2 linked regions of the Lonchura striata genome follow. The protein of the gene in region 1 interacts with the protein of each later gene in a biochemical or structural test. Links are inferred from orthologs where the notes say so. Each region holds a gene or a part of one and is shown in the gene's direction. Other genes may lie near its edges.

Region 1 (16,449 bases):
CGAGTGTCTAACAGTTCAGTGTGCCAGTCTTGGGGCTCACATATCTGCAAAACAAACTTTCCACAGTGGAAAACTCATGCCTGCACTGGGGCAAAGCAGGTTACTGGAGGCAATATAATAGGGACTCAGTGTATCATTCTTGCCCAGAGGACACAAGGGAAAGGGATCAGATTCATCCTTGCCTCCTCCCACTTGCAGCTAACAGAAAACAGTCAAGATTTTTTCCAGTGAGTCTTTCTAAGAAATGTAGGATCATGTCAGGTGTTTGCTGAAGACAGAGCAGAACTTGAGATGAACTCCTTTGTCCTGAAAAATGACTAAGAGCAGCCCTGTTTTCAGTTGCAGCTGAGGCAGCTTCTAAGGTGCACAGCCTGTGAGCTCCAAAGTGGAGCCTCACAGAATCAGTGAATTAGTCTTACCATATGCTAACACACCAGGTGCAAAAACAAGGTTAATGTGTCAGTGGGTCTGCTGCAAACACGTGCCAATTTGGTAGCACAAATGCACAACTATTCACATGTATTTTAAAGGAAAGGTTCTACTCCCTATTCAGAAGCAATTTAAAAATAGGAGAGTGTTAGTTTCACACTGATAAACTTGGAGGACTGACATAAGATAATAAAAGGTACATAGCAAAGGAAAAGAACATTCAAATAAATCCCTGCAGGTCACTGAAGCCCTGCTTTGAATTCCTTCCAAATTTAGCCTGGAGTGTCCATGCCCATGTCAAGTTGTTTCTGTACACAGCACAACATAACTGTCCAAGCTATGCTTCATACAGAAAACCAAATCCCACTATCTCTTTCATATTTTTTTATCTTAATCACCCGATAACTTAAAACCTCCCAATACCTGACAGAAAATTTTCTAGTTAAGAAGCTGTTTAGAGATCCCTGAATTGAAAGACAGAATGTGAAGTAAGCACCAATCAAGGTACCAAGGAACTATGGAAGATCTTCTCAGTGACTAGTCCCTGGAAAGGCTGTTACTGTTTGGGGCTTTTTTTTTGTAAGCATAACTTTTTCTTACAAGAGAAGGAATATAATTTTTCCTATTACATAGACACAAAGTGCAGATAATTGTCAGTCGCTGGTGAAAATATTTCCCCCTCACCTCCCAAAATTAAAAAAAAATTCATAGACTTTTTTATGCGGAGTTTTTTTCTTGTTTGGGATTCTTGGTTAACATTTCTGTAAATAGTTCCATTTAGTAATTGTAAGTGTTTTGCAAAACAACAGGGTACAAAATATCCTGTGTGCAGCATTACAATTTAATTTGTTAGTCATATTTCTAATGCAGTTTTTTAGCATAACAGAAGTCCCATTTTGGCCTAAAAATTCAAGGTCTTCTATTGATTTTAAATTTTTGGTTTGAAACTTTTTGACACATAATTCATATTATTATGTTTATGGTGATATTATCACATTATTGTGTTTATAGTGATTTCTCTTCATTCAACTTCTTTTTCCCTAAACAATGGACAGAAGGCAGGGTTTCCAAATGGCACCATGTTGTAAGATTTATAAAGGATGCTTGGCATCAGAATTAAAAAGACTATCAGACTTTGCCATTACTCCCAGTAACCACATACCCAGCTGCTTTGCACAATTCCTCTGGATATAGACACAGAGGGGCTATATTAAGCCTTGTCACAGTATGAATTTGGAACCTCTGTCCAAAGAGTATAATGTCACCTAAGCTTTCACATTTGTGCTGGGAACAGCTAGAGCAGAAGCAGGAGTTTAAACTAGGACACTGGCAGTTTGCCTGAAGAAAAATCAAACTGCCAATAAATCTTCTGTGTAAAGTATTTGGACAAAGTGTAGCTTAGAAATTAAAAGGAATCAGTAACTAGGCAATTTCAAAATACAAACACACAGTCTTGGATTCCCTGATTCTTTTTCAAGAAAAAGTATATTTCCAAAGCAAGTCAGTAACTAAAGGTTAAATCTGATTCCTCTAGCTGCTTTCCTAAAGGAGGAGCTTCAGTGCTGTGCCAAGCTGACTTCTGTCCATACATACAGATCTGAGTCTTGAGCAACTCTGTGAGCTTGGCCTGTGTGTGAGCATAGCTTGAATTTCATCCTTTCTGATCAGACTAATAATAATAGCAAGGCTATTACTACTCCATTCTGCCAACAGAACTATTTAGGTAGTTTTAGTGTCACTTTGCAGAACATCTGCTTTTACTTCACTCCTTTTTCATTCTGGAATTAACTCTTACCATACCTACAGTTAACTCTTCTACCATCCCAACTGGGTAATTACCTCAATAAAAAATACAAGATAGCTGTAGAAATGCTGTTTTGCAAGAAGTGCAAAGTAGTGCACACTTCACATAACAGTGTTGAACTCCCTGCCCATCGTCCATCCATCCTCCTGTCTCACCAGTTCCTTGCAGCCTGCAGCCTTAGTGGCCCTGTGCAGTGTAAGCCACCAGCTCACACCATATCTTAACCCAAGCTTCCAAGTCAGCATCTGCTGGACAAGGATGTTGCTTTAGAGAGTGGTCTCAGGGTGGCCATTAATGCATAATTTAGATTTCACCATATGGTTTCCCATAGCTTTTTTGAACAATGTAAGGTAGCATGAATACTTGTTTCATTTCTTACTATACTGAAGCATGATGTTCTGATTTCTGCTTCTTCTCTTCGGGGATTTATTAAATATTCCTTTTTAGAATGTTATGAGCTCAGCATCAAAGTACATTATAAATCTGTCCAGAAATAAATAACACAGTGCTGAGGAATGTTAGCTAAGGGAATCTATAGTAGATTTATTTCTTTTTCTCCCACTCTTCTGCCAGTGCAGAAGCAAAGCCTTCAGATTCTTCTCCTATCCTAAAGGGACTGGCAGTTGACCAGCTTAATTAGCAAAGCTCGCTATGTAAGTCAACATGACTACTCCAAATATTCCAAAACTTTGCTAGACAGAACTAGGCCACGTGGGAAAAAAGTAACTAATTCAGCTCTTAGCCAAGGTGGGCTACACCTACAGGACTCTTTGAGATCTCTGCTAAAAGCAGACCAGTTCTCCCCCACAATATGGTATTACTGTGCTGTTAGATGCAAAAGACAGTTTCTGATTCACACTCTCTATAGGTAAATCCAACTTCCCAGAACTTCCCTCTCTGTGTTACCTGAGTAGATGCCAAGTGAGAATTGCTCAGAAATGTACAATTTTATCTTATTCCAAGTTTGTTTTGCTACAAGCTCTTTTGGCTAAATTGGAGGATTCCCACTTCCTCCTGATTTTTCCTTACTGTGACTTCTCTGTCTCGGATAAAATGAACACAGGCATTTATCAGTTGTTGTGGTAAATCGGCACCAAGTCCTCTCAGATCTTTGCTACAGCACCGACTGCTTTTGGATCTCTCAATGTAGCCATAAAAAGGGAAACTGATATTCCTAATAGTATCATCAAATACTGTTAGTGTAATGTGCCTGAATGGAGAAGAAAACCCTTGAGCCATTTGTGCATGCACTCTTATCAGTTCTACAGTGCTCTACACCCTTCTGAATGCACAGCTGACTTTGCTGGTTGTGTCAAACTGACTCAAATGATCATTTGTTTGCCTACCATTTAAGATTCCTAGTAACTAGCATGCATTCCATATATTTTTTTTTCCAGGAATACTATTTCTCTTGGATCAAATACAAATTAGGCCAACTTGTATCCAGTGTTTATCTGTTGCAGATGACTTCTGTTTACAAGCTAAGAGGGCCACAAGAACATCTGGCTCCTATCATCTAGAGTGCAAGGGCTATTCTGGTCCACACTGAATAGTTTCAATGCAAGGACAGTATTGAGGAAGACAGCAGTAGCTCTGCTCCATGAGCTGTCCAGACAGCAGAGAAAGGATCATCAGTGAAATTGTTTCTGAAGAAAACCTCTTAGTTAGTAACCTAATGTCAAAAATGCTATTTTGCTGTTAGATCTTGATTTTTGTGCACACATATTGTGTGCAGAGATAACATTTCAAATGTCTTTAAAGTTTTAAGATCTTCATCATGCCCACTTCTCCACACCAGTCTAACCTTCTATTCAGCCATTCGGTTTCCAGTTTGAAGTTGTTCAAGTCATGAGGCAGATCTGGAAGTAAAATAGGTTCCCACTGGACATTTTCTGGGCAAGTGAGGTAGGAGACTCAGTTTGGTATTTCTCATCTTGAAGACCAAAGGGCCTGGCCAGATGAGGCAAAGAATTTAAAAGGAAAGAGAGAAGGATGACCATTCATGCTCCTGGAATCATTCCAGAGAAATAGAATCTAAGATATATTTAGTAATCTTGCTGTTGAAATAAAATCTTGTGTAACTCCACCTTAGCAGCAATATTTAGCATTTATGTAATCATATAAAGTAAAAATGACCTACTTTTTAATTATAAAGAAACATATTCAGTAACCTCTAAAATATAAAAAGGAAAATTCTCTATTTCCCAAATAGATAGATCTTCATTATACAGCATTATCCTATACACTAAAAAGTATTGCCATTTAAAGAGGAATTTATCAGGTATTAGGCATTGGCTGTACTGGCCAAATACCACATATCGAGCTAAATAATCACATTCCCAGGTGAAATTTAGCACCTTTTACTATTTTTAGGCAGTCAGAATACATCACTGTGTACCCATGCTTTGAGAGTCACCATAAGACCACATTTCAACAATCAAAGCATGTTTGATAAAAGAAGAAAATCAGTAATTTTCTAGACTGAATGGCAAAATTATCTTCCATGGATAAATAAAGACATAAATTATTGCTATAAGGCTTCATATAAACTATATAGAAGAAATCTTAGTTGTTTATAATAATTAGAGCATTTTAAAAGATCACAGAACTAATCCTAGAATAAAATGCCTGAATAAAGTGCTTAAAATTTTCTCTCTCTTGCTAAAAAATAAAAAAAAAATCCAGAGAAAGGCTGTGTATACACATAAATGAATGGTATGTTTGAACATGTTTCCTACTTTCTGTTATTCAGTTAAAAATCTGTATAAATATATTCTTCACAGTCAGTCTTAGGAATTTAATGTTTTAATGTCTGACTTCAATATCACTGTAATGGCATTCCTTCTATTCATCACAATTGCTCTTCTGAATCACTGCCATGGACTACTTTTCAGCAGGAGCTTTCCATTAGAAATACTGAAACTCACTGGACTTGACAACTATTGCTTCATGGTGAAACTATAAAAACTTCTTAAACTAAGTAACTTTTTCTTAGGCTGAAATCAAGAATAGCCTCATATTCCTATTTTTTACCCTGGACTGTGGAACTAGCTGTTCCAAGAAGCCATCACTTGAATTGTTGGGAAATTGCCTCTCAAAGATCTGGCCTGAAATAACAACTTGACAATCTATGTGCAACTATTTGGAGTGGTACACTACTACTTCCTTAAAAAACACTACATTTAGTTTCTTTGCTTTCCTTCACACTGCCTGCTCTGGATGGTATTTACATACTATGGGCAACCAATTTAGGTATCCAAATTAAAAGTATAGGTTTTTTATGCCATCAGTGGAAAGGGGAACAGTGCTTCAGAGGGCAATTAAAAGTAAAACACTGAGAAACCTGCCTGCTTTGGCAATTTCTTGGAGGACCTGGACGCTTCTGTTAAAGGCCCAGGACAGATTGTGAAGATGTCTGAATCTCCACAGAGCCTTTTGTATTTTTTTACATTTAATTGGGACAGAAAATAAATACTGAAATTTGTTAATAAAATGTCACTTGAATTGCAATTTAAATGCATGGAGAGTCTTCCGCTATTTGTTGGTTGCTCATTCTAAATATTCTCCCTTAGGATGATTTTTCAAGCAAATTGCTCTTTCCCTATTACTATCTCAGTCAGTTCTACACAGATTTTAACCTAATTAGCCCACACTTTTTCTTCTTTTGGTTGGCTTCAGAAAAATGAATTTCATGGCTGGACAGATATTCTGGTTTGCCTTCACTTGCTTTTAGCATTTTCATATTATTATACCTATTGAAGGTACAGATTAATCTGTTTTGCTGGCCTCCCCAGTCAATGCTGATCTTTGGCCTGACTGCTCCTCTGCTGTTTGTGGTTTCTTCCCAATAAAAAGTAACAACTTCCCAGGCCTCTGCCATGTTCTCCTGCTGGCATCCTGTGTAATTCTGCTTTGCATGCAAGGAGCCTACACTTTTAAAAAAGCTCTCTGTCATCCCAGAATGTTCCAGGCACTATAGAAAAACATACAAGAGCTCCATTTAAGCCCTCTGGACATGTTTCTGTCTAGCAATTTTTGACAGAAAACTGGAACAATTTTAAACAAATCACAGGCATCCTGGCTTTTCTTTTCTGTGTAATCTAGTTTCCATGAACTCTTAGACACTTATCTGTGCTGCTGATGTCCAGAATGCAAGCTTCTCCCTAGCACTTAAACGAATCTTCTCTAACTTCTGCCCCCACAGCTGGTCATGAAGCTGCTGAACAATTATCTTGGTTACTGCATAAACAGGTACAGGATTTTGATAACTTAATGGCCTACCATTACAGCTTGTGAACAACTGACAGGGTATCCCAATCTCCTATAGGGACCACGTGGCTTTGTGCTTGCTCCTCTCTGAAAAGCTCAGTCTCTCAACATTTCACCATCTCCATGTCTCCTTTCTTTCTTTTTAATCCATTTGTTATTCCAGAACAACATTTTATAATTATTACACTTTAGCCCCAGCTGCTGGTAAAATAAAGGAGGTACATATAAAACACCAATAACTACACATGGGTAACTGGCAGAGAAAAAGAACCAGTTCCTGCTTGTTCAAGAGACATAGCCAAAGTAATTGATGGATAAAATAAGAAGAGGAATGGAGAAAGTTTCTTTAAAGATCCAGTATTACACATATTTACTGATGTACAGCCTGTACTGCTTTGAGTTTGCAGTGAGCCTGTATTTCATAAATTGATATTTTCATTTTGAAAAAGAAGCTTTCACTGAGAAAGTTGCTATTTATATATATAAAAATATAGTAATAAAACAACAGATCAAAATAAATATAAATAAGTAACCAAAACAAACCCTTTTCTTCATAGAATATTTTATTATTTCTTGATGTACACATTCATTATCCCTGGTTTGGGCTTTTTTTCCAAGTCTCATCTGGAAATGTTTCAAATGGAATAAATTTTAAATTATTCTCCTTTTGGAATAAGCTACATTTCTGAACTCTTGAAATGTTCTATTTATTCCAGAATTTTACTTTGCTTCCAAGAGCAAGGCAAAGAACTTCAGGGAACAATTAGAAAGAACTGGAAAATCCTCATAACATGAAGGGCTGACAGCCAAAAATCCTAAATCTGATGGACTGCCTTGCAGATTGGCATGAACAATGTCTCTCCCCATAAGTAAACCTTAATCTCCTAAGCAGAAAGGAAAATAATTTATTTTTAAGGCTGCTGTAGTCTTTCCATGCCCAACAATCCCTCTTTTTCTTTCTTTTTCTATATCTTTCTCAATTTTTTTCTTTTTCCTTTTTTGACCCCGTCATTTTTTTCTATTTTTTTTCCTTCCTTTTTATCTCCTTTCCTTTCCTGCCCCCTAGTGACCAACTAAGCATGTTCCTAAACAAACTGAGCACTCTTCCAAAATACTTCTGAAAGGAATAACAGTGAAATGTTTCTGAGCTGTTCATGCCTGAGCCTCTCAGGCTGTGTTAGTAACAGGTGGGTTACAAACCTCCTGCTGCCTCTAGAAAAGTCCCTACCACATGTATTGGGTGGGATTTGGCATATATTTCAGATATGGTTTCCTAACCATGCTATTGTACAGAAGAACAAAAATACTGGATTTTGCAGATTATTTTCTCATAACATAAATAAATTACATTAAAAAGGAGAGGTGTTTTTATGTTGAATCTCAAAAATCACTATGAAGGCTATTAATAACTAGTCCTAAAATATGCTGAGAATCTTTGCTTCCTTGAATTCAAAGCTAATTGAATCCTGCTCTTACAGTGTAATTTTTCAAAGTTGTTTCCATTCATAAAGACCTGCTGTAGTTTCACACTCAAGCTATAATGAAGACATGCTGGAAAAGGAAATCAGGCTGCAAATAATTTAGAATAATAGTACCTTTTGGGTATAGTGGTGTGGAGAGAAATGTAGAATTTATTTCAGGCGGTGCTCTTTATAATCGTGCTCCAGCAGAACAGTGAAATATTGTTCTGGATTTCAAATTACTGAGAAGACCTGAGGAGCAGGATGTGTTTGGATTTACACAGGTACTTGCACTTCCACACACTTCTAGATACAAAGTCCCTTCTTTAATTTTAAAATGAAAGTAGTCAAGTTAGTGCACTTGCTACTTCTGCTGTGGGCCCAGAGAAGGGTTTATGAACTCAAAAGCTTGTATAGCTTTCCAAACATGTTAATGGTGACAATAAAAGATACAAATGGCAGCATTTCAGGTCCTGTTTTCAGTCTGTGGTGCCTGCAGGCAGGAAGGGAAGCTCTCATCATGCAGACTTTGGAGAAGTTGGGAAGGTCTGAGAGGCCCTATGAGCCACAGTTGATGACAGTTTATGCAGGAACATTATGGCCCCATGCAAAGCAGTGGATGAATTATGTATGTGTGGGACTCTGGCTATTCCCTGCCTGCTGAGCACAGCTTGGAATTTCAATGGAGGCACAGAGAAAAGCCAGTGGGATTACAGGAAACACGCATGACCAAGGCATCACATTTGTCAGTGCATGTGGTTTGTGCCCTGTGCTGGCTGCATTCTTCTGTCACACTGCTGTGGCTATGTGTAAATTACCAAACTGAACAGGACACAGACACAAGCATCAGACCTTGATCTGTCACTAGAGCATGGTGACAGCCTGGTATAGCTTGTAGTCTCCCACAAAAAATTCCTGGGTGCAGTTTAGGCATTAGCATGGACCAGGGAGAGAAAATTTGGATGTAATTGCCTTGTTTCAGGGACAGGGATGTTTGACAGAATGGAAGACTGTGCAAATGTGCTAGATCCTTTGCCTTGCACTTAAGTAATTTAATTTCCTAATGTGACAGCAGCCTGAAAGTTGAATTGAGTTTGGAGGTACTCATCTCTGCATTTGCAACAGGAAGCTACTGACCCTATTCAACTACCTTTTCCAAAGTGTTTTAATATGGTGTGAATAAAAAAACACATTTCAGAATTATCAACTGAATTCTCTTCTAGTCAGTCCCATCTGGGCTCAGGCTTCCCCCACCAAGCCAGTGAGGTTTATTGCGGGGCTGCGGGGAGAGAGAGGACAATTTCTGTTCTCTTCCAAAACCTTGAACTGGCAAAGTCAACTAACAGGTTTTTTAATATCTGTTTTTCGACATTAATAAAGAGAACTATGCTATTTATGTTGTATAATTTCCATTACATAGTTATTTTGCAAGCACTGAACTTCCTCGGAGTCACAGTATTTTCCTATATAAGCAACTGTGCAAGGATCATGAAGCCATTGGCACCCAAATGCAGTCTTCCACACTTTGCGGGGGGGGGGCGGAAATCCCTGAACAGAAACCCCTACATTTAATTACTGAACACAGCAAAGGCACATTTGTTCTTCTGGGGCGGATCGCTAGTGCTGTACTTTGTTGTGCCCCTCACGGCCCCCGCCAAGGGGGCCGGTTACGCGGGCCGTGTGGGCGCCGTCCCGCTGTGGGCCGCAGCCCCGCCGCCGCCGCTGGGCGGCTCCCGCGGCGCGCGCCTGCGCACGAGCGCGGCGGTGCCCGGATCCCTCCGCCGGGCGCAGCGCCCGCCCGGGAGCGCGTGCGGAGCCCCGCGCGGGGCGGCGGGGGCTGCGCGGGCCCGGCCCGGCCATGGCGGCGCGGAGGTGCGCGGGCGGCGCGGCCGCCCTGGCCGAGGCGCCGGGCTGCGGCGCGGCGGCGGCAGAGCCGGCCCGGGAGCTGTTCGAGGCCTGCAGGAACGGGGACGTGGAGCGGGTCAAGCGGCTGGTCCGGCCCGAGAACGTGAACAGCCGGGACACGGCGGGCAGGAAGTCCAGCCCGCTGCACTTCGCCGCAGGTACGGGGGCAGGGGGAGCCGGGGGGCGGCGTCGCTTGCCCGGGGCGCTGGGCCGGGCCGGGCCGCTCGGGCCTCGCCGCTCGGGCCGGGTGCAGCGCCGGGTCCGAGCGCTCCGCCGGCCCCTGAGCATCGCGCCCGGCCCCGGGACCGAGCCCGTCTCACCCACGCGGAGGGGTCGCCGAGCGGTACAGCTGTTCCCTCCTTTGCTTTTTCTTCCCCCCCCCCCCCCCCTTTTTTTAAAAAACCAAATCTCATCTGGCTTTGAGGACACATCTGGAGTGGGGTTTATGCTGTTCGTGTTGTGACACGTGAGCTCTGACAGGGACACTTGTCCCACGTACAGTTCTCATGGATTTCAGCGGGCCTGTGCATTTTTAGAATTGAACGCATGAAGGAGTTCGTCAGATAACACCGTTTCTAAGCTTTTTGCGTTCTTATCTTTGACAAATGGACTTTGTTAATTCAGGACGTAAGCAAACAATTGACGTCACAGGACAACTGCTTTCACTGGCAATTGGCCAGAAGATTGTATCCCACCTTTTCAGACAAAGACCCGACTGTGACTGTTGTTTCCATGTTGGTTGTTTGGTTTAATTACAGCCGTAGATGTTGGACTCTAAGGCTGACAGTCTGCAGAAAACAACAGCTTCTTTTCAGCTAATCAATATGGATAATAACAAAGATGTTTGTTTCATTATTAGATTGTCTTGGTAAAGGTTTCTGCTTCGGGTGTCCTTTCCTCATGTTAAAAGAGCTTGACTCAGGCTTAAGAGGTCTAAGTTCTTGAAAGCCTCCTCAGAACAGCAGTATTTCATAAATTCAAGAAGCCTAATCGGCAAGAGAGCTCAGGAGACAAAATATCCTGTCAGAGGAAAACAGTTTTTGTGGCTGTTTTTTTATATGCATCAATCCTACCTGCCCACTGAACTTCTAAACAACTGTGTATGTTTTAGAGCATTTTGGAGAAATGAGGGGTTGTTTTTATTTATTTATTAGTTTTGGTTTTATTTATTTATTATGTTAGTTTTGGGGTTTTTTTGGCCTAAGATGTTTCTCATTCACTGTAATGATCTAGTTTATCTCTCTGAATAGGGGTGATCTGTCTTGACTTTATATAACTCCTGATAGGCAGAAAGATTTTTCTTTAAAAAATGCACAGCCATAAGTTCATGTAGTTGTTAGATTTCTAAAGTTAGGCAGGTTGGTGTGTAAATGGGAGACACTGCTGTCATGCACATGTCACCATGACTTGGTACAGAGAAATTAATTGTTCTTCTCAGGGGCCTGTAGGAGATGCTGAGGGTTTCTGGCTAAGATGGGACAGAAAACACTTGTGTGATTTCTTCATGGAACTCTATTTACTGCCTCAGGTCGAGCTCTGCTGTTGTCAGCCCACCTGCAGTAGGCTCTGTTTGAAAGGTGGACATAAGTCGCTCTTGGACTTGGGCCTGACTGGTTTTGTTTGGTTTTGCCTTTCCCCTATTATTCACCGTTGGAATAATACTCACTTCTTTTGTCTGTGCCTCTGAAGGAGTCACATTCCAGGAAGTAAAAGCAAAAATCTGATGTATTCCTGCTTTGTTTTTAAGTGTTCTTAGAAAATGCATTACAAAACTTCTCTGACTAGTTTCATTCAGTTGCAAGACTTCTTTTATGGAGGAGCTGGAGCTGAAATACACCATGTCACCATGTTTTTTATTGCTCTTTTTTTCTTTTTACTTGACACTCTGGATCTGAACCTCGGTTATATTTTTTAAGACTTTTCCCAGATCTTACCTAACAATTAAGAAAAAAATTCCTCTTTTTCCATGTGTGTGTTTGTAAAGGTGGATTTTGAAGTAAAAGGTGTAAAAAAAATCTTCAAGCTCTCCCTAGAAATGTGTCATTATCAGAAGTAATACATGTTGGAATTTTGCTGGAGCTTGCTCTTTGGATTTTGTAGTACACAACTGTGTGTGGTAGTTAAGTTATCCTGAAGGTTAAGTCAAGGGCCCACCACCCTTCACAATAAAAGAGGCTCCATCCTCTCCCCTCATAAACTTCATGTATTTCCTCAAGTCAATCTTTTTCATCACAGTGTGTGTCAAAGTCAGAAGTTTTTAAGGACTTGGCAGGTACCAAAATGCCCCTCTTGCAATCTAAATTTCATTAAAAATATGAACACCCAGGGTAGGGGAGAAGCATTTGAGCTAAGTTCTTTCTGTTAGCTTGTTATCCCATCAGAAGTAGCTGGATGTCAATTATGATCCACAGTGACTGTAAATAAATACCTTTTTAAAATTATACACACTTGTACATTTCTACTGTGATTAATAATAGCAAATTGTCGGCTGAAAATTTGTAACTTTCCAGGGAACAAGTGCAGTGAGCTGCTCAACTATTACAGGTGGGAGAAGAGTGTCAGCTCAAGGTCCTGAGTAGCCAGCCTTTCTTGTTGGCAATAAAAAACAAAGAGTTCATGATGATAAGACCATTACGTTGCAGTTGAAATGTGTAATCCCATTTAGGTGGTCTCTTGATAAAAGCACAAGAGCTAAAGAAAACACCTACCTCTTAAAAATTACAATGTTGGGTTTTTTTAAAGTGTTTAAACAGTTTTTACTACAGCCAGCTACTGGTAAAGAGGAACTGTTTGAGTAGGCAGTGACTGCCTTCCCGTGACAGCAAAGGCTGCCCCTGCTTTCCACTCCCAGGAAGAACAGCAGAGGCAGAGACCATTGTGCAGTTTGGCCACTTCCTCTGCACTCATGCATCCTTTAGAAAGTAATGGGAAAATAATTCCCCTTCCATATATGGTGCCCTGTTGTACAGTTGCTTCCCCAAGGAAGTAAGGAATCCCTGCTGTGCACTCAGTGCTGGAGAGAAGTTACAAAAATTGGTGTGATACAAATGAATTAATTTCATTACATTAAATTAGATACAGAGGTGTTGCTGTACTGAAGGTGCTTTCTGAATAGAGGCAGGCTTTGCTGAGGGAGGAGCTGTGGATTGCTCATGAATTGTGTCTGATTGACCTCTGTATTAAATAGAGGGAATTATCTATGCCTATAATAAGGTTTACTACAGCTGATTTTCAATTGTGATGTTGATTCCTGATGAGGAATTTTACTTGTAAAAAAGTGGCTTTACATCAATACTTTGAGGGATAGGAGTGTCTTCAGTACAAGAATGAGTGGTTTAGCTACCAGATATGTAACAAAGAATTTGGTCAGAGTCTTTCCTAACATAATTGTAGCAGTCCTGGAGAACATTTTTTGGTACTCAGAAGAAAATACCAAGCAGTCTGTCATGAAATAACAGTTTTGATTATGTATTTGCAGGACTCTGGCACATGTGAAGGTCTCTTTTGAGTAGTTTCTCAAAGTAATTTAGTACGTTTTGAGTATATAGTCAAACTATAAACAGAATTTGTTGAAAGCTTGAAGAAACAAAAAGAATATCAGGCCATATTTAAGAAAAATAACAGTATTTATAATACTTTGAATAGCTGAACATATTTAAGACTGAGAAACATGATACACATAATGTAATATAGACAATAAGCTTGCATAGGTATAGCTACTAATATTTTTTTTTGGCAGCAGAAATATGCTTGCATGTGCAGTGAATATGACTTACTGTGCCTGTGCAGATAAATTGGTTTTGCATGGACCATGTGTCTGATCCAGTTCTCATCCCAAGTATGCTGAGCTTCTGTTCTCTGTTAGAACAGGCAAGGTGGGTAAGTGGCATCGTGAGACTCAAAAGTGAATTTTTTGTAGGGTCTGTGGTTCTATCATAGGCAAGGTGCTAATAAGCTAAGATTTGTATCATCAGTATTGTATTTTGAAGAAATACATCACCAGTGTTTTGAGGAGGCACATCACCAGTATAGCCTTGTGACTGTTACTCGAAAACACCTTGAAGTTCATGCTGTGATTCAAAAGTTTGACATAAAATGATTGTTACAATAATGACAAATCTGTGGTGAATGTGGCTCCTTACCTGACTTCTGAGGGAAGAAGAGTAAAGTGAGAATTTAACTAAAGTATTCCTGAATACTTGTCCAGGCCTCTCTCTCTGATATATGCAGCTTGTCTACAAGACCTTCTCTTAGCAAGTGGGATCCGGAAATTGCTTAATAATGGCAATGGGTTTTTTGGGAGCTCCAGGTGGTGAAAGTGCTTCTTGCTTCAGAAGAGGGATTTACTGAAGTCAGGTTTAGTGAAGAGCATGGTATGAAAAAGTTCAGTCACAACTAAGCTAAGACTAAAAGTTCAGTTATAACTGAAATGCTGACACTTGTATGCTTTGGTGACTTTGTCACTGAAATGCTGTGTTGTTATCAGGAATATACATCATTTCTAGGTCATGGTTGCAAGGACTTAAACCTACCACGGACATTCTATGGGTGATCTGTAGCAAAGTTTAAATTCACTGCAATCTGAATATCAGTGGTGTTGGCAACTTCATGGTTATTGCCTCAGAGGGGCAAGCTCAAGACTTCATCCAGGTCTTGATCTGTTCAGGAAAAGAGTTTATAACTGAGATATTTAAAGGAAGGCACATGAGTTATTTCCCAGAAGGTACTTGGCAGAAGACTGATACATACTAAAATATGGCTCTTACCTGCCCTAATAATTGCTGAGACCCACAGAGACATTCATGGAACCTTAAAGGTGGCCTTTGGAACATAACCAGATGGGTATAATGGCTACAAGCAGAAATCCTAAAGCATTCTGGTCTCATGTAGTAAAGCAAATATAGATACAGTTTGATGTCCTAGTTCATTTGCATACTTATATAAGTATGCAAGATACAGCTGAAATTCGAGGGAACCCTATCAAGATAGGGTTGTTTCTGTAATCTTTAATATTCCTTTTCCACTAATCTAATTTTAAGAGTTTGATAAACATCCTTAGTATGCAAATGGTTCTTTAGTAAACCATGCCACTTGTGATTGTCTTTAGGAGTGGTTACTGTTACTGTAGTTTGTTGGTTTAATCTGCACTTCTGGGGCAGGAATTTCTCTTACCCCGCTCTGAAGCCTTTTCTCCCTTTTCCCCTTCCAGGTTTTGGTCGGAAGGATGTAGTTGAATATTTACTTCAAAGTGGTGCCAATGTCCACGCACGAGATGATGGAGGCCTTATTCCTCTTCACAACGCCTGCTCTTTTGGCCATGCTGAAGTTGTCAATTTGCTCTTGCGGCACGGTGCAGATCCTAATGCTCGAGATAATTGGAATTACACTCCCCTTCATGAAGCTGCCATTAAGGGAAAGACAGATGTCTGCATTGGTAATTTTCTCCCACTCTTCCTGTGACTGACTCACTTGTTTTCACTGTGAAAAATCAAGAACCCTTTTAAGACTATTTTAACTCTATGGAGCTATGGCTGAAACAAGGGTTAAAAGTAAACATCTTTCAGAAACTTCAATTGATATGTCACTGTTACAAGATACAGGTTTTTGGATATTTTTTTATAATTGTCTACCTATAAAGATTCATCATGGTGAAGGTGCTCTAAAGTGACATGATGGAGCTAAATTCTCTTCTGTTTCAGCCTAGGTTTTATGCTGCCTTTTTCTTCTGATCACAGTGCAGTGGGAAGAACAAAAGTGATCTTAATAACTGATTCATTCTATCTTATGTGTAGCAGCTGTGTTAAATTAGTTAAGGATGGGAAAACTTCAATTATATTGACTACCTGTTTTACTTACACAGTTCTTAAGAGGAGCTCTTTAAAGAAGAGGTAGAAGGTTAGACATATAGTCAAGAAACATTTCTTGATTGTGTCGTTTGCTGTCATTTACTTTAAGAGAGCTGTAAAGCTCTCGAGAGCTGTACAGATAACATTGCCTGTTCAGCCTGAGTGCAACATGCATAGCCTGCCACTGCTATCTGCAGGTTAGGAGAGCACAGGATTTGGGACAGCATGCTATGGAGCTGATGGAAAATAGCTGCTGAGTTTTTGTGGTGGGTCAGTCACAAGCTTTCAACTGAGATTGTCTCTTGTCAGTCTGTGGTTGTTCTCTTTCAGATCTGCTTTTTTCCCTTAAAATGTGTCTAGACATTTCATCAGATACACTGGTCACAGTGCAGAATGCTGACATTAAAAATTTGATAAAGGAAGTTAGAATGTTTCTTTTATTGTTTGCAGATTACAGTAATGATAAACCTTGTCTTGTAGAATTGTTTTCTCATCGAAAACTTTGGCATTTTTGTAGTACTGCTGCAACATGGTGCTGAACCAACCATCCGGAACACAGATGGAAGAACAGCTTTGGATTTAGCAGACCCATCTGCAAAAGCAGTGCTGACTGGTAAGTGATAATCTTGAGATTTCTTTATTGCTAGTAACAGTTGAACTGATGTAACACAATAGTTTGGAGCTTGTCTTTTTGATACTACTTTAACTTGGCTCTAGTTTATAATTCTAAATAGAA
Region 2 (16,052 bases), on another chromosome or scaffold:
TAGAGAATGATTGCCTTGCTTTGTCTTGCCTTGCCTTCTCCTGAGTTGGAAATGTGCAATGGACTATCCTAATTCACCAAATCATGACAATTAAAACTACTGTGAAACACAGAGCTCTGTTTTTCCTCTCCCTGATGGCAGCTATGCTGGAGACATGTTATTGAATCATAGTGGTGATGATTCTGTACTTCCATAGAAATGATCTGAGTGAGAACTGAGCATATTCTTTAAACAAGTGTTTTATTCCCATCATTTCATTTTCAGGAAAGAGCAATTTTTTCACTCCCTCATACCAGTCAATGGGAAAGCTAGTCATCAGTGTGGAAATTAGGGAGTTAAATCATTAGCTTTCATAATTAATTGTAACAGTACTGAGGGTCAATGGAGCTACGTCAGTCTACCCATTCATATCAACAGTGTGGCCTGTTAACACTATAGTATACACACAATCTTGAGAACTGGGGTCTATCTAATAAATTTTCAAAAATTTGTGTATTTAAAGTATTGCATAAAGAAATAAAAGTAGACAGGACTAGTTAACCCTGAGTCCATAGGCAGACATTTAATATTATTTTTTTCTTAAATAAGTTATGTCCTATTTCAACCTTCTGAGTTTTTTTCTTCTCTGCGACACTATTTAGTTATATTGTATGACTCAGACTCAAAGGAACTACTACAGTTCCTTTAAGAAACGTGTCAAGAAAACAAAGGGAGCACCAACCACTTTATAGGAGCATGAGAACTTCAGTTAAATCCCCTCAGGAAAGTGAACTACAAAATTAATTGTTTTTTTAGTTCAAGGGCTTGTCAATACTTGAAAAGTATTCCAGAAAAAATGTCATTCAGTACTATGTCTTACACCCAGAAACAGTTTTGTACATTAATGGTGCTTTCATTCATTACTGGTAATTATTCCCTGCATTTGGAGCCAGAAGTGGGAGGATTACAAATTTCTAATTCCATATCAAGTTTTGCTAACTGATAGTGGTACCTGTCCTGTAAATTATGTTGTTTTTCAGCTATTTGGATTGTGTATTGGGGCACATCTATATAATCTACTGGGTCAAAGTTAGCCTGACCAAATGGCCAGTTTTTTTTAAATTAATGTTTTGGTACACCACCTAGAACTACCTTTCCCATCTGCCATCAGCTGCAAATTTCACGTGCCTGTGTGTGCGAGATCATATTTCTTACCCATGAGGATTCACGCCATTATTTTGTGACTCAGACTGCATTTACTTTCTCTGCAGACATCTTGTAAACATATTCTAATAAGAAGAATCACATGAAATTAGTATTTTCTAATGTGGTTGTGGATAAAATCTATGAACAGACATTTTTCAAAGGACAGACATAGACTATAATTTTAATATCAGCAACAATTCTATAACTAATTTTTCACAATAGCACATAACTACCATCAAGCAGCAGCACAAAGGCCCCATTAAGTTCAATCTACTGCTTAGAACGGATAACAGGAATAAAAAGAGGCTAAAGGCATTAAGATGTAAGCATTATTAGCATTAGCATTCAGCATTAAAGTATTACCATTTAAGCATTATTCCTTAAAAGAAAGAAAATAAAAGGATTGTATTAATACCTGAAATTGTTTTCAATTTTTATTTAAAAACTTAGTAGAGTAATTACAATGTTTGATCAGAAGCAAGGATATGTCTCTTCAACACAGTGTTACCAAGTCATTTGCTACCTGCCTTTCTCAAAGATTTGTTCTTGAAGAAACACTGCCAACATGGGGATAGACTTTCAGTGAAATAAATACACCACTGAAAAATTCACCACAGGCAAATGGAAAGAACTCTAGTTTCTGAATATATATTGAATTAAAGCTCAAACACCACTGGCCAGACTTTATGCTTTCTTGTCTTGAGATGCTGTAAGTTAGAGTACCGTGGTTTAATAGATGCCACAGACATGTGCACCTTGTTTAGTGTTTAGTATGTTCTCTCTCCTTTAACATATGCTGACTGAAGGCTGTATTTTTGTTGCAAGTAAAAGCTCTACAGTTAACTAAATAATTTAAGACTATGAGAGAACACCACTAAAGTATACTATTTTGCTACAGAAGTATTTGTCAGGCTGGTTTTGCACAATTTCCTTTTATAATCTTTTAGTGGGTGCAAGGGGTTTTGCCCTCATTGCCCTGTGCAAATAGAATCAAACTAGGGGTGTCGACACTGAGCACTTCAGAGAGGTGTATATATATGGATGTTTTACACCTACCATTCCACTACACCTTGTGCTTACTTCTGCTTTATGGAAGACTGAGAACACATCAACCAGGTTAGTACCTTACAGTAGGCATGTTCACCAAACTAAGTGTATCAGGAGCAAAGTTACTTTTGACTCATATTTCTCATATTCAATACTTGCCTGATTCACATCACTTAACTTTGTAGTACTAGACAAAGATTGACAAATACATTAATAAAAATACACAAAGTTTTTTTCACTGCATCCAATAAGTGGCTGACAATTTCAGGTCATAGCTCTTTGGCAGCTTTACAGTTTGAAAGGAGAAAGTAACACTATTCAGTTGCTTAATGGAGTACTTCAGAGATGAGCAGTGAGCATGGATGACTTCTTAAATTCCAGTGTTATTCTGGCTATAAAAGAATTAGATATTATGCTTGTATCTTATTTATTAATCATCCTGTTTATATCTTATTCATTAAGCATAGTAATTGAAGCTCTCAAAATCAGAACCATTGTTGCTTTACTACTGTTGCTTTACTAATCACTTAGTGTCGATTCCAAGAAGTAAGTCTTGTCAGTCCTAAATGCTTTGAAAATGCTCAGTGTGCATTTATTCTGGGCAGACTTCCTACTTTATTAAACTTCTGTTTTAGTGAATTAATTTACTACCTTTTTTTCTCAGTACTTAAGAATGGTTATTTTCAATGCTATATAGCTTCAGTTTATGGTGGATAAGAGAGACTGCTTCCTGAGCTGAGCTGACAATGCAATCACTGAAAAGAGAGACAAACATAGGGATAATCTATGGATCATGTGAAGAACAGAACCCTAAGGGGCAGACTGGCACAGACAGTTTATTACTGGAAGCAGAGGAGAATTCTGAGCTGAGGTTGCTTAGCTGCATGTTTATGAGCCCTCCTGTTGCTATTGTTATCCAGATACTTTGCAGATTCTGATAAAACTCTGTAACCCAAAATTAAATTATCCACTATTTTGGTGAACTAGTTTTCTGCCAGATTAGGCAGCTGAAAAGTTGAAATCAGCCTGTAGAGGAATATAACAAGCATTAGAGTTGGTGTAAGGTGCACAGTGAAACGTGAAGCAAGAACAGAGCAGGGAAAAGCAGCAATTTTACAAAGTGGCAAGCTGTTAGATATGACTAAATCATCACACTTAACTGTATCCTAATTTATTCTGCGGAAAAAGCAACTTTTGAATCACGCCCATAGCATTCCAGCCACAAAAATTGACAAATTACTTCTGTGCTACCTGGTGGATATACTTATAGTACATGATAGTTTCTAGCTAGTACATGTTTTTTTAAAGAAATGAAACAATAGACACAGGTCTTTAGAACTGAGATACAAACATGCTAGCAATATTCCAAGACTAAGAGAAAAATACACTGGATTAATTTTAGGACCTGAAAGTTCTAACAATAGCTTATTTATTTTTATAACTTAAACAAAATCAGCAAAGAAAGAAAAGCATTTATGGTGGAGTGACTATGACTCTTCCTTACAATAGCTTGGGGTTTTTTATCTGTAATGTAGCATTGTAATCTTTCCAAAGGCTCCTGTGCCACAGGTGTTTATTTCTACAATAAAATGGGACTGCATCTTGGGCTAGGCACTATGTCAAAGCTTTGTTCTAGGCCACAAAGAAAAAAGAGCTTTCTGGATTCTAAGAAAGTACACAGTGGTCTTAATGTTTCTGAAAGAGACACGGCAAGAGGCAAGGTAAGTGTGTGAATTTAACCAGACTCTATTAAAAAGAGGAACATGTATCTCGGAGGTATTGCTGAAAGGTAGGTTGTAAGACAACACAAAGCAGATAGAAGTGACACTTCTGAGGAAGCAGCTGCTTCTCCTAGCAAGAATCTGCAGTGAACTAAGATATGTGAAAACAACCATGCCTCATTTAGCTCCACTATTCACAAAATTATTTTCTTTAATTATTGAACTGGTTACCCCTGTAGAAATAGATAGATACATAGATAATGATATTTATTTTGCAAACATGATGCTATGGATTGCTTGGGACAGTACTCTGTGCAAAAAGTGGTTGCAAGTGGTTGTAATTTGTGCTGATAGGGGATGAGGATGTCAGATATGTTCAGAGTGGTGAGTGGTGTGCGCACCAAAGAAGCAATTTTGGTTTTAAATAGAAAAATACATAATCAGGAAGAAATTAACATATTGATTAGCAGTATTAACCATTTAGTCAATGAATAAAAGAACTTCCCTATTCCTAATCTCTCAGCTCAAGCTTTAAGCACAAGTATTTGTTCGGACAATTTTTTCATCTTCTTTTAAGGTTGTCAGACAAATGATTCACTAGTTCCACACCTGAGTCTGGGCAACTTCTGACATGTTTTAGCAAGACTGATGAACCCTTGCCTTCCAGCCCCTGGAGGCATGGCAGTTTCTCAGCTACAAAGCTTTACTGTGTGTTGTTGCTTCTTACGTGCAGATCCGGTTGAAAACAATTGAAAACTTTCCACTGGGTCAAAAGAACCCAAGTGTCTACTGACACTTGTACTGTTCATGAAATCTTCATTATGAAAAAAATAAACTGGAAAAAGACAGCCTGAGTCATGTTTCCAGGTGTCTAAAAGCTGGAAGATCTAAAGCATTCTTTAGAGATGGCTTGTCTTCAAAGTTAAAAAAGGTGCAGGGTTGCTGGCAAACATATTTTAACCATGAAAAGGACTTAATTAGACATTGTTGAATGGAAGCTGCCAAATTAAGGCCTAATACAGGTTATTGCAGATGCTCTAAGGATATATTTATGGCTTTGAGCAATTACAGAATTGATTTATTTATCCTGCATCTTAAAAAAAAAAAAAAGAGCGAAATAATTGTGGCAATAGTTGACTTAGAATCTGAAAAAAAAGAAATAATTTAAAGTCCTTCACTCCTACAAATTACTCATAAGCTATAACTAAAATCTGTATATATTTTATAATGGAAAGGACCTGTAACTTTTAGACACTTTTTAAAAAATCGTAATGTAGAAACTCTAGCTTTTTACCAACACTAGCAAAGATGGACCTTCACATCCATTAATTTTTTTCCTAAATGATGTTATACAAAACTACGGCAAAACCCTTATTCTTCTACTATAGTACAAACAGTGCTACTGTGAAATGAGCTCTATACCTGACTTACTCTGTATGACTAATTCCCACTGTGTTATCTTAAAACTTGATGTTAATGAAAAATCTGGATATGGAAATCTCTGCACATGTAATAGAACATGATCTTATTTTAGCTTTTTAGCTTCCCAAAGATGTATTATACTAATTAAGGATTTTTGATTGGCAGAAATGAAGAATGGTGAAAGCGTGTGATGAGGTGCTCAAAAAACACCATTCAGGCCTCTCTGCATGTCACTGTGTAGAATCCCAGCAAAGTTAGCTGCATAGATACTGTTTCTCCAGTATATTTAAATATAGGCCAGACAGGGTTCGTGTTTTGAAAAGAAAGCTCTAGAGACCTGTCATCCTATTAAAATAAATTATTTGGTGATTTCATAATTTAAATAAGTTTTTCTTTTGACAATGGGCTGTTGTGATATGTTAAGGGATGTCTGAGAATATGTAAATGGTTATTAAAACTCACTTAGCTCTGTGCCAACATTAAGGCCAGTGTTAAACTCCAAGGATGTAGTGTGAAAGATGACTTTGACCTAGATTGTGCTACAAGGTTGTCACCATAACTAAGTCTGTGAAACATGATCATCAAGTGTGAAAAAGTGCACTTCTAGGTTTGTGAATCACAGAGAAGAGGAAAAGGACTGCGCTAGCAGCTGGGTTCTTGTGGGCCCCTAGCCCTAGTCCCTTCTTTACTCAAGAAACAATTAACCTCTTTTTAAAAATTATTTTTAAATAAATATGGGACATTTAATTTGTGTTAATTGGAAGTAATCAATTTCCATTTTCTCCTTTCCCAAAAATCAGTGTTTAAAAATTTCCTGTTTTAAGAAAAAAGCTTAACCAGTCAGGTAATAGTAGGATCAGAGCTGCAAGGGAGCAGGGGGCAGGTAAGTCAGTAAGGAGGCACACATATATTGAACACATATCATTTATATATGTTCTTTTTGCAGGTTAAGTATAGATGGCCTGGCCACTTTGATCCACGTCAGGAAAATTTTATCCCAAATTGATGGCATGTGACATATCACACCATGATTCCTTTGCCATCTCTACATGCAATCCCTCCCTAATGCCAAGAGGATTGCAGTGGCTTTAGGTTCACAGTGTTCACCTTCAATTTTATGGCTCTTTTTTGATGTTCAGTCATAATCACAAGCTTTTGTCTCTCATGTCCCATCTCCTCTGGGGGTACAGGGGGTGGCAGCAAGTATTACTGTCACCTATCAACACTTAATTATAGGTAGTAAAACACATTGCAATAAAGACAGTAGTACAAGATGCTATGTAGTTATCAAGTATTACACAGATTACGATGTTACAATGCAATGTGCTTTACCAGCAAACATGTACAAAATGTCCACAGAAGTAAAAAGTGCCCTGAAAACCATGGGAAGTCCTCTCCTTAAGCTGGAGAGACCCAGGGCCTTCGAAAGTTCACAGCTGCCACGATGCCACTTCCCACATGTGTCAAGCAGAAAACCCATAAATACAATATTTGCAGCATTTTTGAGTTCCTGAATTTGTTTTTGAAGCTGTTTTTACTGCTCTACTTTTCCCACAGCAGCCACTTCTAATGATGTTTCAACACTTCCATATTTTATGGTGACATCCACCGTGGATGCCTGGTTCTCTTTCACAAAAACCAGGTCCATTTTGTAAAATTATTTTATACAAATATAATAATTCATTGTTTTGATCTTCTGTGTTTGGTTCCTGGAACACTATCCAGTCTTTCTTTGTGGCATCATTTGGCCACATTGAACACAATTGGTTCTGCGTTTTGATTCTTGTGCCTTGCACAGCAGAACACTACCTGGATGATAAGGGGATTATTTATTTAAATAAAAAGTGTTATGTGTAGTAGATATAATTCGTGCCGTTTCTAGTATGATATATGTGATATTTAATATTTGGAGTATACACGTTTGTATTAGAAGTCCCCCTCCCACCCTCACAGGCAAAACTTGGTGTTATGTTGAAACCCGATTTTTAAATAAAAGGATGTGGCTCAGCCAAGAGATGGGCCATGTCTGGAGGGATACGGGGACATCATCGCGTGAACGACCCGAGATGGATATCATGGAAATCCTCGGGCAAATACATGTGAATGCAGTGTTCAGTAAATTTCATCAAGGGATTCAACAACTCCGTATACTGAATTGTTCTTCCTCGTAACCAAAAAAGAAAATCTTATTAACCTATGGACTCTGAATGGAAGAAAAGACTGACTGCTGAAATCTTGGCCTCAGGCGGAATTTTCCCTATAAAAACTGCTTGTGCCAGGATGGAGGTGTGTGGGCATAGAGAAAAACCTCTGCTGAGGCTGACCTCTTTGTTGCACACCCAGGGCCGACCCCGGGCTCGGTGCTGCTCTAGACAGAATTTGATTGCAAAATAAATATTTTATTTTTTCATTTTAATTCGGCTGGACAAATTTTCATTTATAACAAACGCGCGGTTAAACTGCGACGGCAGGCGCGCGGCAGGGAGCTGCAGGCAAAGCCGGCCCGGCAGCATCCCCGCCGCCGCGGCCCGGGCCCGGTGCCGCCGCCGTGTCCGCCCGGTGCCGCGGCTCGCTGCCGCCGGTCCCGAGCCCGCCCGCCATCCCCGGCGTGAGGCGGGCCCGTGCGGCGAGGAGGCGGCGCCGCGGGCCCGGCAGACGAGGAGGAAGCGAGCGCGGAGGCGGCGGGGGGTGGCCGGGGCCGCCTCGCCGGAAAGCTCCGGAGCAGCTCGGGAGCCGCGGGCAGGGGGCACGGAGTGAGCCCGTCCCGGGAGCATGCGGCGGCAGGAGGAGGAGTGAGGAGCCGCGGCAGCGCCTCCGCGGAGAGCTGCGGGAGGAAGATGGAGCCCTTTCCCAGCGGTGAGTGCCAGCGGTGCGGGACGGGGCCGCGGGGCCTCGCGGCGGAGGAGCTGCGTGCCCACAGGAAAAGCGAGAGCCTTCGTCGTCTTGCTGCCCCCGCAGTCCGCGGCTTGAAAATTGTCTGAGGTTAATTAGGGCTAGCTGGCTGGCAGGCAGAGGTGAGAGGAGCTCCCTCGCTTTCTCGGCGCTGTTGCGCTTCTCGCTGCCCGGCTCGCCGAGGCCCGTGTACGCCAGGTGTAAAGTCGCCCTGCGTGGCCCCGCTGCAGGAGCCTTGTAGGTGTCTGCAGTTCCAAAGCCGTCATAATTCTGATGGGAAGTAGGAACCAGACCCGCTGCTCGTGGCGTTTTCCTGACCGGGGCATTATACCCCCCGCCTCCCCACCCCACCCCGAGCGAAAGGAGAAATAAAATACAGAAGTGTCAGCGGTGTACGAAATAAGTGTTTTCAGGGTGTTCATGAAAGCCAGAAAGCTTTCAGAGCTGCCCGTGCATTGACAGAAGTGCTTGAAATACCGAGGTGGTTGCATATGCTTAGAGATAAGCTGGCATCGTGATACAGCCGTGTGTGTGTGCATCCTTGGCTTGTGCCTGAAATAAGCCATGAAAAGTCCGTGTTGCTTCTGCCTCTACTAATAGAATTCTGCAGAGAAGGAAATGAAGTTCTCAGATCAAAGTGAAACTGAAGCGTGTTTGGTTAGATTCACGACCATGGCCAAATATGGAATTAGACAGTGGGTAAAACAACAGCCTTCCGGCTGAAAACGCAGCACTTTTGTTACAGGTGGGATTTGGTCTGTTGAATGACAAGCATGTTGGATAGCCATTGCTAAAATACCAGGTAGAGTTTGCTGTGTCGTATTTTGACTACACACAGTGATCTGCCAAGTCAGAGGCAGGTTTTTTTCTGTATTTAGGTCTTTTCTGTATTTATGTCAATTTTTTAAAATGTCAAATCCATTAAAAAAACCCCCCATACACTAAAAAATAAATTTTCTGTCTCATGGCAAGGGGATTGCCACTGGATGATCTTTAAGGTTCCATCTAATCCATTCTATAGTTCTATAAACCATGTTATGAATCTATAAATATATCCTCATTGCCATGCATTTCCCTGTTCTCAAGCACATGAAATATCTCCTATGATTTGATGCTGCTGTTTAGAATCTTAAAGAAACTGAAGGTCATGAGCTCTGGGCATATTTTGGTGGCATAGCTAGCAGGAGAGACTTTTTCCCTCTTTTTTTTTCCCCCCTCTTTGTATTGTCATGCTAAAATTACAGTTTGTACAAGCAGTTGATGTTTTGGCTCTCTAGATAATCCTGGCCTGAGTAAAAGGTCTTTCAACTACGGCCTATTTCAGTCACAGGGTTGTATTCTGCATTCGTGTATGCATTGTAGAAAGAGCTTGTGTTTAAGAGTAATGCAGTTTGGGGGAGAATTTTATTTTGAAGTCATCTTGCTAAGGCCATTCCTTTTGAAAGAGATGAAATGTTTTAAAGGCCTGTTTGACATAATGCTATTCCTGCACTGCGTAACAAAACATTTCAAAAATGCTGCTCCATGCAACTGGAAGAAATGGACCTGTGTGCCTTAGCCTGTAGCTTAAGGTACCAAGAAGCAATATTCATGCACTAAGCTTCCTGATTTTGTTTCCTGAAATGAAAACCCTGCAGATGGTGGTAAGACTGGAAGAAAATTTGCTGCTGAAATTGGTCAGTAAGTTTCCTCCTGAAAGCTGGCTCTGCTGGAATGGACACCACAGAGAATCTGCGAATATTAGAGCAAAAATGTTGCTCCTTAATTCTGATGCTCTCGAGGCATGTTTGGTGCTCAATGGCAGCTGCAAAAATCTGAAGTGAAGAGGGTGCTTACATTATTGGCTTTTTGAATAGAATTTTCATTTTCATGCCTGGTGGTCTGGAACCTGTGGGCATAATATTTTTTCAGATAAACTGTGTTTTTGTTTTGTCTTACACAATACTTATGAGTTCTGTTTGTGAGTCTATGTTGACTTCCTGTGCAAAGTGCTGTTTAAATTCAGAAGAAAGCATGCCTATCACAGGAAGCTTACATTATTTTACTTGTAGATCACTCAGTTCTTTGGGGTTTTTACCCTTGTAAAACATGGGGAGGAGGGAACAGACTGGATCTGAAGATTTTGCAAAAGCATTTTAGTTGGATTCAATACCCTGATGCCCACTGGGCAAACTATCAGTGAGGCAATTTCTTTTTTTTCTTTATGGAAGTTGAGCTGTGTCAGAATGGGTGTGTATCTTAAAATAGACTTTTAAGGCAGCAAATGCACTAAAGTGGATATAAATTCCAGCTTTTCTTGTTCAGTATTTGGTTGGAATTTTTTTTCTTAAATAAAGGGAAAAAACACAGCCCTAATGCATTTGAAAAGTGAAAGAAATCCTTATTATCCTTTCTTTAAAATCCTAGTGGGTATGCTGAACTCATTACTGTTTGAAGAGCTTCTCCAGTGAAAATGCTCTAATAAATTTAATTTTTTTTTAATTTCTTCTCTCATCCCTGTACTGTAAATTTAGTTTTGAAGCTCTTTGACAAGATCTAGGCTGTGTCTTCCTCCTTGCCTAGGAATTTAGGTGGAGATGATGTATGAGGTCTCTAGCTCTGGAAGAACAGTTAATTGCATATTTATTTTTAGCGCCTGGAATAGTTGAGTTAATCATAGAATATCTCAAGTTGAAAGGGAACTATAAGGATTGTTAAGTCCAGCTCCCTGATGCTCTCAGGACTACCTAAAACTAAACCATATAACTAAGAGGGGCATATAGAAATTCTGCGATCTCTGGCAGGCTTGATGCCATAACCACATCTCTGTTCCAGTGACCAACCACCTTCTCATTGAAGAATATTTTCCTGATGTCCCATCTGCAGTTCTTGAAAGTTATGAGTGCTACAAAGTAGTAAATGTTCTAGAAATGGTTATTGGTAGGATTTTTTTTTTTGAGATTGATTCCTCTATTTTGCTTGACTGTTCTTAATTTGAGATTTTTCCCTGAGAATGAATAATCAAAGTTTGATTAAAAGTTCATGGAAGTCTTCCTTATAATTGTTGCACATAATCTTTTCCCCCTAAATTGTATGGTCTCCCATTCCTTTGAATTCTGCTCTGAATCAATGGGCAGAATTTATTTATTTTGACTAGTCATTTGTTACCTAAACAGTTTCAATAAAATTTAAAGAAAGAAAACAAACAAACAAAAAAACCCCAAAGAACAACAACAAACAAACAACAAAAAAAAACAACAACCAAAAAACCTGAAAGAAGTGAAATACAGATTAAAGGGAATACGTAATGTAATGTTGGACATCAGTACAAATTATTTTGCTAGTATTTAGCTTATTTTTAGATTGTATGTGTTTCTGAAAGGTCATTTAATAATTTCCTATTTAATACATTAAATATGTCACTTCTCTACTTGACACAGAAAAAAGAGATAGAAGTGAGCTATTACAGAGATTTTCATTTAAGACCGGTGACATGCATGAACTTGAAACTGTAGATGGGATAACTTGAAAGGATCTGAAGTGCAAGTAACACTCACTTTCACTAACATTCCTGAGTTATTTTTATCCTTTTCATACACAACACATATAATCTTTGATATTAATTACATGACTAAATTGGTGAACAAAATAAAGACTGTCATGGATAGAAGTGAGGGGTTTTTGGAAAGTACAAATAAACCAAGTTAGGTAATGTTCTTGACAAAATTAAAATGTCATTTGCAAAGTATAGTTATTTCAGGTAGTTCCTGTCAATTCTAAAATGTTTTTGTTCTTCGTGTTAATTTTGTTCAGTACAGAAGTATATTGGAGATTGCAGGAGCATGTTCTTGTGTGCATAGCTTTAATTCTATTTGGGACAGCAGGCAATGCCTTGACTGCCAATGTTTTACAATGTTGTGCTATGGAGCAGAAGGGTTCCTTAAACTGTTACTCAGTCCTTCCTAAACAACAGACTGAGTGGTTGTTTTTTTTTTGTGGTTTTTTTTTTGTTTTGTTTTTTTTTTTTTTTTTTTGTATAGTAGTAGATGGAAAACATCAAAGAGGTCTGTTTTTAATGTCTTTTTTTTCTGTCCTGTGTTTTGCCTCTTCCATCAGTTATTACTGGAAAAAAATACTTACTTGATCTGTTCCCGAGTGTGAGTTCTACGTTGTCCAAGCACATTGTGCTGGGTCATAGTTTTCAACAAGGCCATGTTGTAGTATCTGTGCTTGTGTTCCTGTGTCAGCTCAGCTGAACAGGAACCTTTTTTTCAATGTATTGGGTATGTGTTTGATTTTACTGCTTTGCTGTGAACTCCCTGCCATGCAATGGATGTTCAGAAGGGGAATTCAGTAACTTAAAGAATGTCTGAAGATGAGAGTGTAGGTGCTCACTATTGATCATTTGTTAGTGTTTTTCCACTAAGCAGTTGGTCTTCACTTGCAGAATGAAACTGTGGAGTATCTGTGTGTTTACTTCATAAGTAAAAAATGATGAAAGCTAACCTCAGTATCTGCCTGTAAAAGTGTTCCATGATTGTCTTCTCATCTTTTTTGGGAAGATGATGTAAAGTTGAGCAAACATGTTTCACATTGCCAGGGCTGTGTGAATGTGTGCTACACAAAGCCCTGGAACGACTGCCATAGAAAAATAGTAGAAACAAATAAAAGCAAGGATAAAACCACCTCTGTTTGTTTCACTAGTCAGAATACTTTTTTCATATTAGACAGGCATTGGTGTAACAATTACATACAAAGAAGCTGAATTTATCTTTATTTAATGCATCCTCTGATTAAAGCAGTGCTGAAACTCAAGTTTCTCATATTTTACTCAGTGATGTAAGAAAGTTCAGTGAATTTACAGTTCTCCTGCACAATTTTTTTTTCATTAAGGATGAAAGGAAGGATTGTGTAGCAGAGCAGAAACATTAAGTTTTCTTTATGATTGGGAGCAGTGTTATTCTTTTGTCTGTCAGAGAAATATATGCATGGCAACTGCTGCTTAGACTTCTGTCCAGGAGTATCTTAAAATAAGATCATATTAACTTCTAAAATAAACCAGAATCTTGTGTGGTCTGGGTTTTAATTGCCTCAATTAAAGAGTACATATAATACCTTCTGAAGTTGTGTTTTGATTACTTGTGATACTGCTTGAAATAGTGGAAGTACATTAACCTTTAATAATCACAAAAAGATTGTGTGCCTTCTTGCCCATAGAAAGGTGGATACTCCTGAAGGATATTTGGAGTAAGGAGGGGAGGGAAGATGCCTGGAAAACTCATCTGGCTGATCACAGAGACGGGAATTTCAGGGTAATACGGCGTGTTGGGTTCTGCGCAGTTTGTGTCCCTAGGGCACAGCTGACACTTCAGTGCTTCATGAGTGTTGTCTTAAAATAGATGTTCAAGGAAGACCTCAGAGCCCAGCTCTTCTCCTGGATTATTCAGGGCGTGCAGTAGTCTATTGAAGCAGAGGTCTTCTTTACTACATCAGGTGGAGAGTGAAGAAGTGGAATCCTGATTCCACTGAACCACGAGATGCTTTTAATCAGCTGTTTGTTCGTGTGGAAATAAGGTGAGTTTTGATTTTGGGATTTGTTTTTTTATTGCAGTCAAAACTCTCACTAAGATGTTTGGAGGAGTGTTTCGTAACTAAGCATAACTGTGTGCAGAGAGCTTCCCCTTGGTTGTAATTGCTCTGACATTGAAGGAATATATTTTGTTAAGTGGAGTTCTTGTGTAAAAATACTTCTACCACAGTGCCATTGGCTTTTATGGAGAATTGATTGTGTTCAAAACTAAGAATGTGCCTAATTCACCCTAATTCACCTACTATTTTAGGGCCTAATAGTGATTTTTATTTAAGCCTTTCTTTTGTATAGAAACTGACATTAGTAGAACCACATTTACTGGTTTTCATGCATGAAAAACAAAAGTTCTGGACTTCAGCAAGACTTGTGTTAGTGGGAGACCAAAATGCTTTGGTATGCTTTAGAGGCCTCATACTTCTGACTTGTAAACCATTATAAGAGAACAACAAGCAGTAGGTTTTTAGAAAGTGGGCCTGTGAAAACAACATGTATAAACTGTCAGTTGCTGTCAAAACCTGTGCTTTTTATCATTGATGGAGATATTAATGATGCTTTAGTGTCTCTTTTGGAACAAATGAATGATCAAAAGTGTCTTGTTATATTATGAGACTGAAAAAAATGCAGATAGATGTATTTTTGCTCTGTTAAGATGATATAAAACTTACCCTGTCAGGAGTCATAGGCAGTAACCTCTAGACATTGTTGTGCCTTGCTTTCTGTGAACTGAGCTACCAGTTAGGGAGCAGTGAACACGTAATGTGTGCTTGCGACCTGTTTGGTATGGTTTGAGTTGTCATGTGGGTATTCAGTAACTGTAGTAAGCCAGAAGGCATATTGGGTTGCCTCTGTGGGGAGTGAGTGTTCAAGACAGGAGGATATGATTCCATTAATTTATTGCTAAAAGCAAACATGAGAACGAAAAGATTCAGCAAGCATCAGTTTGTATATAGTACGTCAGGTTCTATACCTGTTAGATGTTTCAGAAAACTCTCAAAAAAAATTTTTTTTTCAGAACAACTGGAACCAGCAGAGAGATGTTTTGTATCCTCAGCTATGATGAACCTAGTGTTTATCAGACATGAAATTAATGGACAGGTGTTGTGAAGAGGATAGTCAGCAGTTCTGAATGTGGGAGTTGAGTAACTCAAGCAATCTGACACACAACTTCCTGTGTGTCTCTTCAGATTCAGGACCTTTTCGTTAGAACCCCTGTGGTTAAACATTTTATGTGATTTTAATTGCAAAACATGCCTTTGGTAAGACCAGAAGCAGGAAACTAAAACAACCATATTTTATAATTAAAGCCAGAAGCTTCTTTCCTGTACGTTTTTTGTTCAGCCAGTGGCTGTGGGTTGAACACTGCCTCAACCTTGTGGAAGGTTTTCCTTCTCAGTAGTAGCCAAAGAGGAAAGTGTCATTTAAAACTATTTCCTCTTTCCTTCCCTCCATTTCCCCTGCATTTTCTTATAGCAAACCTAACTGGTACCAGATGTAAACATGAAAATATATGGTTAAATGTGAACAGATGTGATATATATCTGTTGGATATCAAAATCCAGACTAACCTTGGTTTGGCTAGCTTTAAATTCTCCTCTTATTTCCTCTTAGGTCCCAATAAAAAATTATGACAAAAATAAGTTACAATTTTTTGCCAGTTGTATAGGTGGAGTATTCAGTAAATGATATACTCACTTTTTACCCTTCTATGATATTTTCTTTTTGTTGATAACAAAGAAGTGAAGATTTGAAAAGAAGTCTCCATAGTAGCCTGACTGTTTACAGTTAAATCTAACTGGTAAACGGTGAAACGTAATTGATCCATGTAGTTATTCAACCTGGGGTTCTGACAAAGAAAATGCAATGGTACTTTGGTTAAAAATCAGGAAGAGACTTTCAGAGAACCTTTTAGAAGCACCCAAGACTAATAAACACTGACTTCCTTGAAATTACACTCCACGCTCATGTTTCTTATGGCAACTTCAGATAAGAGGTGGTCTTAAAATACATAATCACATTGTTTTAATTTCCATTATACAGTAAATTAGCAGGGTTTTGTTCCAGTCTATGTGCAGAAGCTTGTCATTACAGTATTTATTTCACACACTCTTTCCAGTGGTTTGCTTTGTTTTTGTTAGCTGAGTAAAGGTTAAAACTGTTTCCATGCTGCAGATAGATGCAGGTTTGAAATTACACGAATGACATTGTGTACTGTCCTG

Evidence for each region.
Region 2: the proteins of TNKS2 (region 1) and LNPEP form a complex in vitro, tested with the Homo sapiens proteins (4 studies listed by BioGRID and IntAct, with this or other methods). The link is inferred for Lonchura striata from reciprocal best matches to the Homo sapiens genes TNKS2 and LNPEP.

Annotation. Positions count from the first base shown.
Region 1 is NC_134609.1:16,484,863-16,501,311, forward strand, and holds the start of TNKS2 (poly [ADP-ribose] polymerase tankyrase-2), read left to right. Parts: upstream 1-9,820; coding exon 9,821-10,025; intron 10,026-15,076; coding exon 15,077-15,301; intron 15,302-16,230; coding exon 16,231-16,326; intron 16,327-16,449. UniProt on the Homo sapiens protein: Poly-ADP-ribosyltransferase involved in various processes such as Wnt signaling pathway, telomere length and vesicle trafficking.
Region 2 is NC_134642.1:2,735,684-2,751,735, reverse strand, and holds the start of LNPEP (leucyl-cystinyl aminopeptidase), read left to right. Parts: upstream 1-8,089; 5' UTR 8,090-8,212; coding exon 8,213-8,231; intron 8,232-13,648; exon of another isoform or gene 13,649-13,820; intron 13,821-16,052. UniProt on the Homo sapiens protein: Release of an N-terminal amino acid, cleaves before cysteine, leucine as well as other amino acids. Degrades peptide hormones such as oxytocin, vasopressin and angiotensin III, and plays a role in maintaining homeostasis during pregnancy.